2 linked regions of the Oryzias latipes genome follow. The protein of the gene in region 1 purifies or fractionates together with the protein of each later gene. This does not show direct contact. Links are inferred from orthologs where the notes say so. Each region holds a gene or a part of one and is shown in the gene's direction. Other genes may lie near its edges.

Region 1 (4,447 bases):
ACTCTTTTAATTTGAAGGTTTCTTGAGTTTTTGGTACTTTTGTAAAAATGATAAATGTCAACAAATAAACACGCCCTGTTTATGGCGGACACTTTAAAGACGAAAAACATGAAAAAATTGTGAAATATATGGGGTACATTATTGAAAACAAGGTTGAGAACCACTGGCCTACACAACACAGGTTTCTATTTGGCTTGTGCAAATAAAGTCAGCATCTTGAATTAAACAAATATTGGAGGAAATAAAAAATTGTATACAAAACTAAAGCAATTTAACACAGGCTTTCTTTAGCTAACATGATGAAGATGTCAAACATACAATTCCAACCAGGTTTGAAGGCTGGATACACTCTTTCCAGTGAGATTCTGCAACCGAAATAGTTTTTTATTCGTAAAAACAAAGTTTAAATTGATAACATGTATCATAAATGTTATTTTTTCCTGTCAACCCTGTGGTTAGCTAACCCTCATTATTCTTGGTAACGTGACCTTGCACTGCTATCACAGCAGCAGCATCGTGTTCTTTTAAAAGTCATTTATTCAAAGATTTTATGATAATAAACAGAAAAGCACGTTGCTTTAATCCTACTAGCTCCCTCGAAACAGAAAAATTCATACAACTGAAAACAATTGAACTATTTTACCGGAGAAACACGCTCGAAGCCCTACAAGCGCAGCCATCTTGGACGGTGGCAGTGACCAAAGACTTCCGACATCAAGAGACTTGACGGACCTAACTTCCTCTTTACTCGATCAACCGTCGTCAGTAGATGTATAACCAAAATCAACTATTTACACAAATCAATTAAGATTAAATGTCTTCTTCTTATTATTATTTTTTTTATTGATATATGTACTGCACTGCCAGATGTCTATATTTGTAAGTCGATGATGAAAAAAATGTTTGTAACATTTGAGTCTACGTTTTATTTTTTTGATTTATTTTTATATATTTTTTATTTTAGAACAAAGGTATGAATAAAAAAGTCATACATTTTTTTTCCTGCGAGAATAAGGTTGCTTAGTTTTAATCCAAAAACATTTCTTCAAGTTCAGTGTATGAATGCACATAGTAGATTGCGAAGATACTAATTTCAATTTCACTGATGCTCTTTGGGTGTATAACCTCAATCGGAAGTCTCTATACCGTAATCATGTTAATACTTCAATATAATTTTGACATTAATTATGATGTAATTTAACGTAAGATTGAACTTACATTTTCAAATTAGTACAGTAAAAAACGTTAATCTTAGGACAAAAAATTTAATTTAAAAAAATTAGACAAAGACACCTGACAAAGATATTTTTCCCATGGACTCTTTTGGTGTTTTACGGTAAAAAAAAAAGAGTGCGCATGCGTCAACGGGTGCTGCCTAGAACCTTCCAGTGTGTTCACGTGTTTGTGTTTTTAAGGTTGGACTTGCGGCAACAACTCCTTCATTCAGAAAGATCACTGGACATTAGAGCTAAAGCAGAATAGGACGTAAGTAAGTTTTTTTTACAGCTAGTTTGTTGTTGATGTGCTTTTCATTTTTGTCTTACTTAGCGACCAGTGCTTTTGTCAGAACAGAACTAGCTTGTAAGCTAAATAATTAAAATAGGCTCCCAGAGATAGCCTGTTTTGTTGAAGACATGTATTACCATTTCGCAGGACATATTTGTTAATTGTTCTGTTTTGTCTGCACAGCTGTGAGGACAGAAGAAGACATGTCGGAAGGCGAACAGAACGGCAGGAGATATCCCCGGAATCTTCAGGGGGTTTTACAGATGGCAGTAGATGCTGGACCAGCAGCAGAGGCTCCAACTCCAGTTCAGCCAATGTCAGAGGAGGTAAACCTGCTTGTTTAGGGAATTTCAATTCACTACAGTCCTGAACCTAGTGTTCTTAAACACTGTTTCACCATGTTTATGTGAGGAGGATATTTCATACTAAATAATATGATCAATTGATTTAATTAGTCTCAGTTGAATGAAACATGTATTTATTTGTGAGTTCTTTTCTGAAATCGTTTGGTTTCAAAAGCAGTAAACCCAACCTTTTATATGTGACACTACTTCAACTTCTTTAGTGGAAAAAACAGTTATTTATCGGAATGAAGTAAAATGCTATTAAGAATTTTTAAATGGCATGCATGTTCTTAAATTTAAGAAAGAGTTAAATCAATTCTTTCTTTACCCGATACAATGTTTGATACTGTTCCCTTGTGATTCATTTTTTGTTAAGTATGACCTTAAACATTTTTGTTAAATCTGACCTATAACAACTTTCCCGTTTACTTTTGTAAACGGTTACATTTTAAGATTTAGTTTCATGCGCAGTCCTTGTTTTTATTTGTATTTTTTGCCATTGGGGACTTTGTTTTTGACCAACAACTGCCTTTGCTTTGGGTTCAGAGAAAAACGTGGCTGCGGGAAGCGCTTTCTGAAGTCTGTAAAGGCCAGCTGGATGAAGTAGAACAAATAAAGCAGTGCTTGTCCGTCCTGCGTAAAGAAAATGTGGGTGACAAGGATGAAAATGGAGAAGAAATGAGGGACGAAGATGATGAGGACGAGCGGGAGTCGGCCTTTGAGATGCTGTCAGAGTTGTGCGAGAACCTGGATAATGCTAGAGGTTTGTGATAATCGCTTTTGGAAATGATAGTGAGAGCAGATGTTGACATGATTCCAGATGGTATGGACTAAATTAATTCATCTCTTCTCTGTTTTTTACAGATCTGATGGTGCTTGGTGGACTAGAATTGTGTGTCTCTCGGTATTTGTGTCACGTCCAGAGCGGGCTGAGGTGGCGTGCTGCTGAGCTCATTGCCTCCTGTGCTCAGAACATGCCACAGCTTCAGGACCACCTGCTCAGTATTGGGACTCTTCCAAAGTTGCTTCAACTAACGGATTCTGACCCGAACCCCACCGTCAGGGTCAAAGCACTTTATGCGGTCTCATGTAAGTTCCTGTCTGGCACTCTGACCAAAGCTGCTCTAAGTGTGTCTTTCTAAATGAGTGATGTTGAGCTCCACACAGTTGTCCAACGGTGTAACGCTGTTTGACTGCAGGTTTGGTTCGAGAGCAGGAAGCCGGGCTTCAGGCCTTTTTGGCTCATGATGGATTCTCGGTGCTGATGAGAGGCATGCAGTCTGAAAACGAGAAGCTCCGGACCAAATCTGCTTTCCTCCTGCTAAACCTGTTGACCTCACACCCTGACCAGAAAGGTATGAATAAGGAAAAGCACCTAAACCATCCCCTTTACTCACCTGCTCATTACAGTTTAGAACAGGGGTCGGGAACCTTTTTGGCCAAGAGAGCCATAAATGCCACATATTTTGAAATGTAATTTCGAAAGAGCCATACAATAATGTAGTGTCCCTTCCCCACAGTGAGGCACGGAGACTTAACCTCTTTTAAAGTTCTTTATTCCGATTACTGCAGACCGCAACAAACGCCGTGCAATTAATTCAGCAACTCCTGAATCTCTCCCGCCGAGACGAGAGCGCGTCTCCCAACTTTATATTCCCCCCTCCCGCTGCAGCCCTCCCATTACCCTTATTCGGCCCATAGCTGAACCCCATTGGTCCAAACTACCTAACAACAGGCTGAGCGACAGAACTGAGAGCCAATCAGATCTCTGCTTGACGCGTTCAATGAACTCCAGAACTTTTAACGCGACCCAACAGCCATCCAACTCAGTCCGCGACAATTTGTTTAAAACTAAATATACAAATGAATGTGTGCATTTGATTTAATTTCAACATTTTTAAAGTACAATAAGTCTGTGGATTCTTTTTAATAACATTGTTATTCTGTTGCTAATAAATGGTGAGTATTTCTCGTGGTAGTTTTGCTGATGGTCTAGTCTGGTTGATACGTGGTGAGTTTCTGCTTCGTTCAGGCGTTGAGACTTTAAACGTGATCGTAGGTCTGAATGTTCTGTAGATGTGAGACAGACTGATCACATGCAGACGCGGAGCCAAACACACACTCACACGCTGCAGTGAGTGACGGGCAGTGGGTTTTACGTTATTACAATCCCTGCGCGATTCACCTGCTGCCTGTCCCCACAACACCTCACCCCCACCCTCTGCTTTCTCCCTCACACATCCCGTCCCCGCATCTGCGCGCTCTTTCTCAGAGACGGGAGCGTGCAGTTTTAGGTAGTCAATTCACAGGTTTCCAGCTGGTACAAACTCTGTGAAATAATAGATAATACTAACTGATAGCGCTGGTGCAGATTTCTCTCTCTAAGCACCGCTACTACTGCGCGCCTCTGGCATCGCATCGCGCCCGAGAAGGACTGGTCTAATGAAACAAAAAGTATAATTAAAGATTTGTCTGCGAGCCACATGTGACCATCAAAAGAGCCATATATGGCTCGCGAGCCATAGGTTCCCGACCCCTGGTTTAGAATGCGATTCAGACCAACCTTGTGTAGCTGCTTGTTAAACTTCTGCTTCATC
Region 2 (4,410 bases), on another chromosome or scaffold:
CACCACCAGGACGCGCTTTTGCTCCAGTTGTGGTTTTTACACATAATATCAAACATAACTAGTTGGCATGGCTTCTTATGTCATGATGAAGCCAATAATAAAATAGTTTTCACTCACTTGCTCATGAATGCTATCAACATAAAGTTCTACATTAACTGCTTGATGTTGACACCTAATAAATTGTAAATAATCATGCTCAACTCGTCATTTCTGCAGGATAAAAGTATACGCTATGATTAGCTTAGGATAACAGCATTAATCGAGGTGTACTTTGTAATATTTTGATACACGTTTATCCTACTGCACTCGAATGCATCTCCGTTACGGTAAAGATGTATTGACAATAAGAATAATGCATTATGGGATATGAACGAAGCACGAAGCCTTCTGTTAAAAGCGATTGCTACCAGTTATGTTAATAAAAGACGTTAACACAGCACGTTCATACTGAAGAGAGTTATACCCTGCAACTCTAAAACATTACATACTGTGACGACCCAGAGTTTGGACAGAGCTGCAGGTGGCCGGCGCCCCCCTCTTTCTGCAAGATGCTAGACCACAGTGTGTGTCAATCAGCGGTGGGCTGATGACTGGTGGGAGAGAGGGGGCGGGGTCTACCTGTGGGTGTGTGTGCGTGTGCGTTCGGTGAACGTTGTCGCTGGAGTTAGAAGAAGCTCGCTGTGCCTGTTGGTTCGTGCTGTAACCGTTCTGAGATACAGAAACATTAATAAAGAGCTGTTTGACAACCGCCCGCCTAAGGAGCTTCCTTGCAGCTACTACAATACTTAAGTTAACGAGGTCTTAGTTGGTCTCACGTCTACGCAGTACACGGCAGGCTCATTCAGTAACAAAAAAATAAATTAAATCGATATGAAACTCACGTAAACTATGTTTTTCATAAGTATAACTTACTTTGTCATTCCTCATGGTGGAAATTCTGTCCTCTGACACATTTCTATCCCTTAAAAAGGAATAAAGAGGCTCCCGCTGATTCTCCATCTTTTCCCACAGGTCATCAAGACGAGAATGAAATGTCCCGCGAGAAGATGACGTTTTACTGTAAACAACTATGTCGTTATTACGAGAAAGTATGTCGTTATAACGAGATACTTTCTCGTTATTACGAGAAGCTGTTCCAAAAAATATTTTTCGCAGTGGCAGCTCAGAGCTTCCGTAATTTTGGAATAAAGTATTCCAAAATACATTACAAAATCATATATTTAGGCATTTGTAAGTTTTTTAAATGTTTTATACGAATACAAAATTTATTTTAAAATGTTTGTAATTTATCATAACAGTGTAAATGCCAAAATAATAATAATAATAATAATAATAATAATAATAATAATAAAAATAATAATGATGACCACGCAACAATTACATGGGGTATAATCATTAAAAGATAATCGACCAACATAGACTGCAAATACTTCCGGTTCAAGATTTTTGTATTTTAGATTTTTAACAGAATTTATTTTTAAATGCATCATTTTACGTTCTAAAATATTTTTGTGAACTTACTTAAAAAAAATTCAAAACATGTTCCACTTCAAAACGTAAAAATACAATCAATGTTGCATTTGGCATTCCTCCAACCGGAAGTCGTTGTTTGTTGACTGCTAAGAAGCGAGTTGGATACAGAAGAGAGGCAAAACAGTGTAAGTTGGGGTTCTGTTGAGCGAAAATAGTGGGAGAAGTTTGAAAGTATAAATTATTATTAATGTGGAGGATATAAAACTAACCATGTGTTTTAGTTGATGTGATTTGAGCTGAATCGTTTTTCTACCTTTGCTAGTAGTGCGGTTTATTTTAGCCTCGCAAGCTCTGGAACTATCTAGAAAGAACCCTGACTTTCTGTTACTACAGATTCGTGCGACAGGTCAGGAGGCAGATCATCGAGTCGGAAGAACGATACGTCATTATCTTAACACCAATTACATATAATAATGTAGCTGTTCGACGAATTATTTCGCTAATTTAAGCGGGAATAATAAAGTGTTGTAGAAAAAAAAATGAGCTCAACAGCTGGCGATGACAGAAATCCTGGGATCCTCCTGGATAATGATAAAGACATTGGAAGTCCTGCCTGCTCAGAGGATTGCAGCAAACGGGTAAGCAACATAAAAGAATGAGCTATATAATTGTTTATATTAATATGTTGTGTTTTTATGTCTTGTTTATACACTAACAAGCAATCCTTGTTTCTATTAGGCTTATTTATGCAGTTATTAGACCTTATTACATAGTCATAGGAAAAATAAACTAAGATTTGTACTTCAAATGTCTGCCTCTCCTGTTTAATTAGAACATGAATGTTTTTGTCTCCTGCTTCACCAGGATCCCACTATGTATTTGGGAAATGGAGAAGTGAAGAGTAGTGCTGTGGTCAAGTACTCTGCTGCCCCCCCCAGCACTTATGCCCTCCCTGAGGAGAAGACGGACCTGAAGCTGCCACCTGCCAACTGGCTGAGGGAAAACCCCCAGCTTGGCAGCGCTGTTTTAGGGTCAAGCAGCAAAAGCAAGCCCTTTTCCAGGTTCCTCATCTATTTCTTAAAGATCCAGTCCCTGAATGATGACATATGACCTTAAGATTTTTGGATTTAGAGTACATTGGGAGGTCCAAATTACATTTTAAAACGTTTTATGTATTTGTTTGAACCTGAAAATCTATTTCTTTTTTTTTCTTTTTAATAACAATTAACCAATTTAAACACATATTGATGTATCACATTTCTTTGTTTTCATTTTAGTTTTGGAATTGCCTATGACTTCATTGATTGTATTGGGAATGGTGTTGATGTGGTATCAGACTCTGAGGTTTGTGGAGAGTTTTCCTTTTTTTTACCTCTCTGACATTTGAAGACATGGCAGACTTTAATGATGGGCTCTATCATCCTCAGAACATCAAGAAACTCTTGAAGATTCCTTACAGCAAGTCCCACGTTAGCATGGCTGTTCACCGGGTTGGAAGGACGTTGCTTGTAGACGAGCTGGACATTCAGGAGCTTTTTAGAAGATCCTCTCAGGTAGATTTGAGGGTGGATCCCTTTTCTACATTCTTCCATTTATATTTTATTTTTGACAGTAATGTGTTTTTTTTTAATGCAATGTTTAGACAGGAGACTGGACATGGCTTAAAGATTTTTACCAGCGTCTAAATGATCAGAAATGGCAGCGGAAGAAAAAGAGTAAAGAGCACTGGTATCAGAAAGCCATCCTGTCAAAGTTTCTCTACTACAGGTAAGTTTTTGTTTAGGATAGTGTTAGATATAATTTGGTGCAATGTTCTACTTAAGGGCGTGTTTCTTGTTACATAATCTGTCCAAAAATCACATGTTTTTCTTTGTTTCTGCAGCATAAATGGTGATGGGGCTGCAGAGCCTGTGTTAGACAACATGAATGAGGGGGATGATGACAAAAATGCTGAAGAGTGCAGCTCCTCGTGGCCTGCAACCTTTACCAGCCCATCAGATGCTCAAGAATCAGAAATTCCTGAACAGGTAGCTTTACTAGTGAGCTCAATAAGTATGGTCGGGTCAAAAAGCTGTTTTCAGACAGTGAGAATTTTTGTGGCGGGCAAGAATTTTTTTTTTTTTTTTTTTTAGTTTGTTTTCAGTTCAATTACATAATGCCCAAAAATATAATGAACACACTGATGCCTTTTGATACTCAGGAAGGTGTTTCTGCGGACAGTAAATTTGCTCTGGGCCAGGTGACATCAGTATTAAAAGAGCAAAACCTCCCTGCTCTCTTCAATGAAGGCGAGAACAGCCAGGTAACAAAGTTCTATTCAAATGTCTGGAATTTCACCACAAACAAGAGCTGGATATTGTTTTTATTTTCAAAGATTATTCAATGTGTTTATAATTTCGAAATAAAAAGGAAAGTTTAAGAAATATTTAACCGTTATTTGCATTCATTTAGCTTTGATCGACTCAGGATATTAAATGACTACTCCGGCCACAAGGTGGCAGTATTCCTTATCATTATGACTAGGTGCATATAAAATACTATGAAGAGTATAATAATAGAACAACACAGCGTCACCTAAGAGTGAAGAGATATAAGAAGCACCACTGAGGGTTGCAAAGGATATGAGGTGAAAACACATTTGTGAGGTTTTTTGTTTATTTAAGCTTTGAATTTTATAAAGATCAGCACTATCTGATATACTTATGTTTAAACACTTTTCATACTGGATTTGATGTATTGTTCGCGTATTTTTATCAAATGAATTGATTGGAAAAAAGTACAAGACTGTGTTTTATGGAAAAATGGGGGGAAGATTGTTGAAAAATTAAACAAAGATTGTGATATTGATTACTGTTAAATTCTTTCTGTACAAGTTTTGACGACTTGCATTCTTTGCAGGGTTTAAGGAATGACTTTGTGCGAAACATCATGTGGACC

The links.
Region 2: the proteins of hspbp1 (region 1) and edrf1 purify together in Homo sapiens (affinity purification with mass spectrometry; 3 studies listed by BioGRID and IntAct, counting the BioPlex papers as one, with this or other methods). This does not show direct contact. The link is inferred for Oryzias latipes from reciprocal best matches to the Homo sapiens genes HSPBP1 and EDRF1.

Annotation. Positions count from the first base shown.
Region 1 is NC_019866.2:14,512,329-14,516,775, reverse strand, and holds the start of hspbp1 (hsp70-binding protein 1), read left to right. Parts: upstream 1-1,361; 5' UTR 1,362-1,485; exon of another isoform or gene 1,486-1,489; intron 1,490-1,684; exon of another isoform or gene 1,685-1,689; 5' UTR 1,690-1,709; coding exon 1,710-1,832; intron 1,833-2,396; coding exon 2,397-2,613; intron 2,614-2,714; coding exon 2,715-2,939; intron 2,940-3,049; coding exon 3,050-3,205; intron 3,206-4,447. Other genes in the region: tufm (elongation factor Tu, mitochondrial), read right to left, coding at 644-680. UniProt on the Homo sapiens protein: Inhibits HSPA1A chaperone activity by changing the conformation of the ATP-binding domain of HSPA1A and interfering with ATP binding. Interferes with ubiquitination mediated by STUB1 and inhibits chaperone-assisted degradation of immature CFTR.
Region 2 is NC_019873.2:19,100,658-19,105,067, forward strand, and holds the start of edrf1 (erythroid differentiation-related factor 1), read left to right. Parts: upstream 1-1,609; 5' UTR 1,610-2,012; coding exon 2,013-2,111; intron 2,112-2,337; coding exon 2,338-2,534; intron 2,535-2,750; coding exon 2,751-2,817; intron 2,818-2,900; coding exon 2,901-3,026; intron 3,027-3,115; coding exon 3,116-3,240; intron 3,241-3,355; coding exon 3,356-3,500; intron 3,501-3,673; coding exon 3,674-3,775; intron 3,776-4,371; coding exon 4,372-4,410. UniProt on the Homo sapiens protein: Transcription factor involved in erythroid differentiation. Involved in transcriptional activation of the globin gene.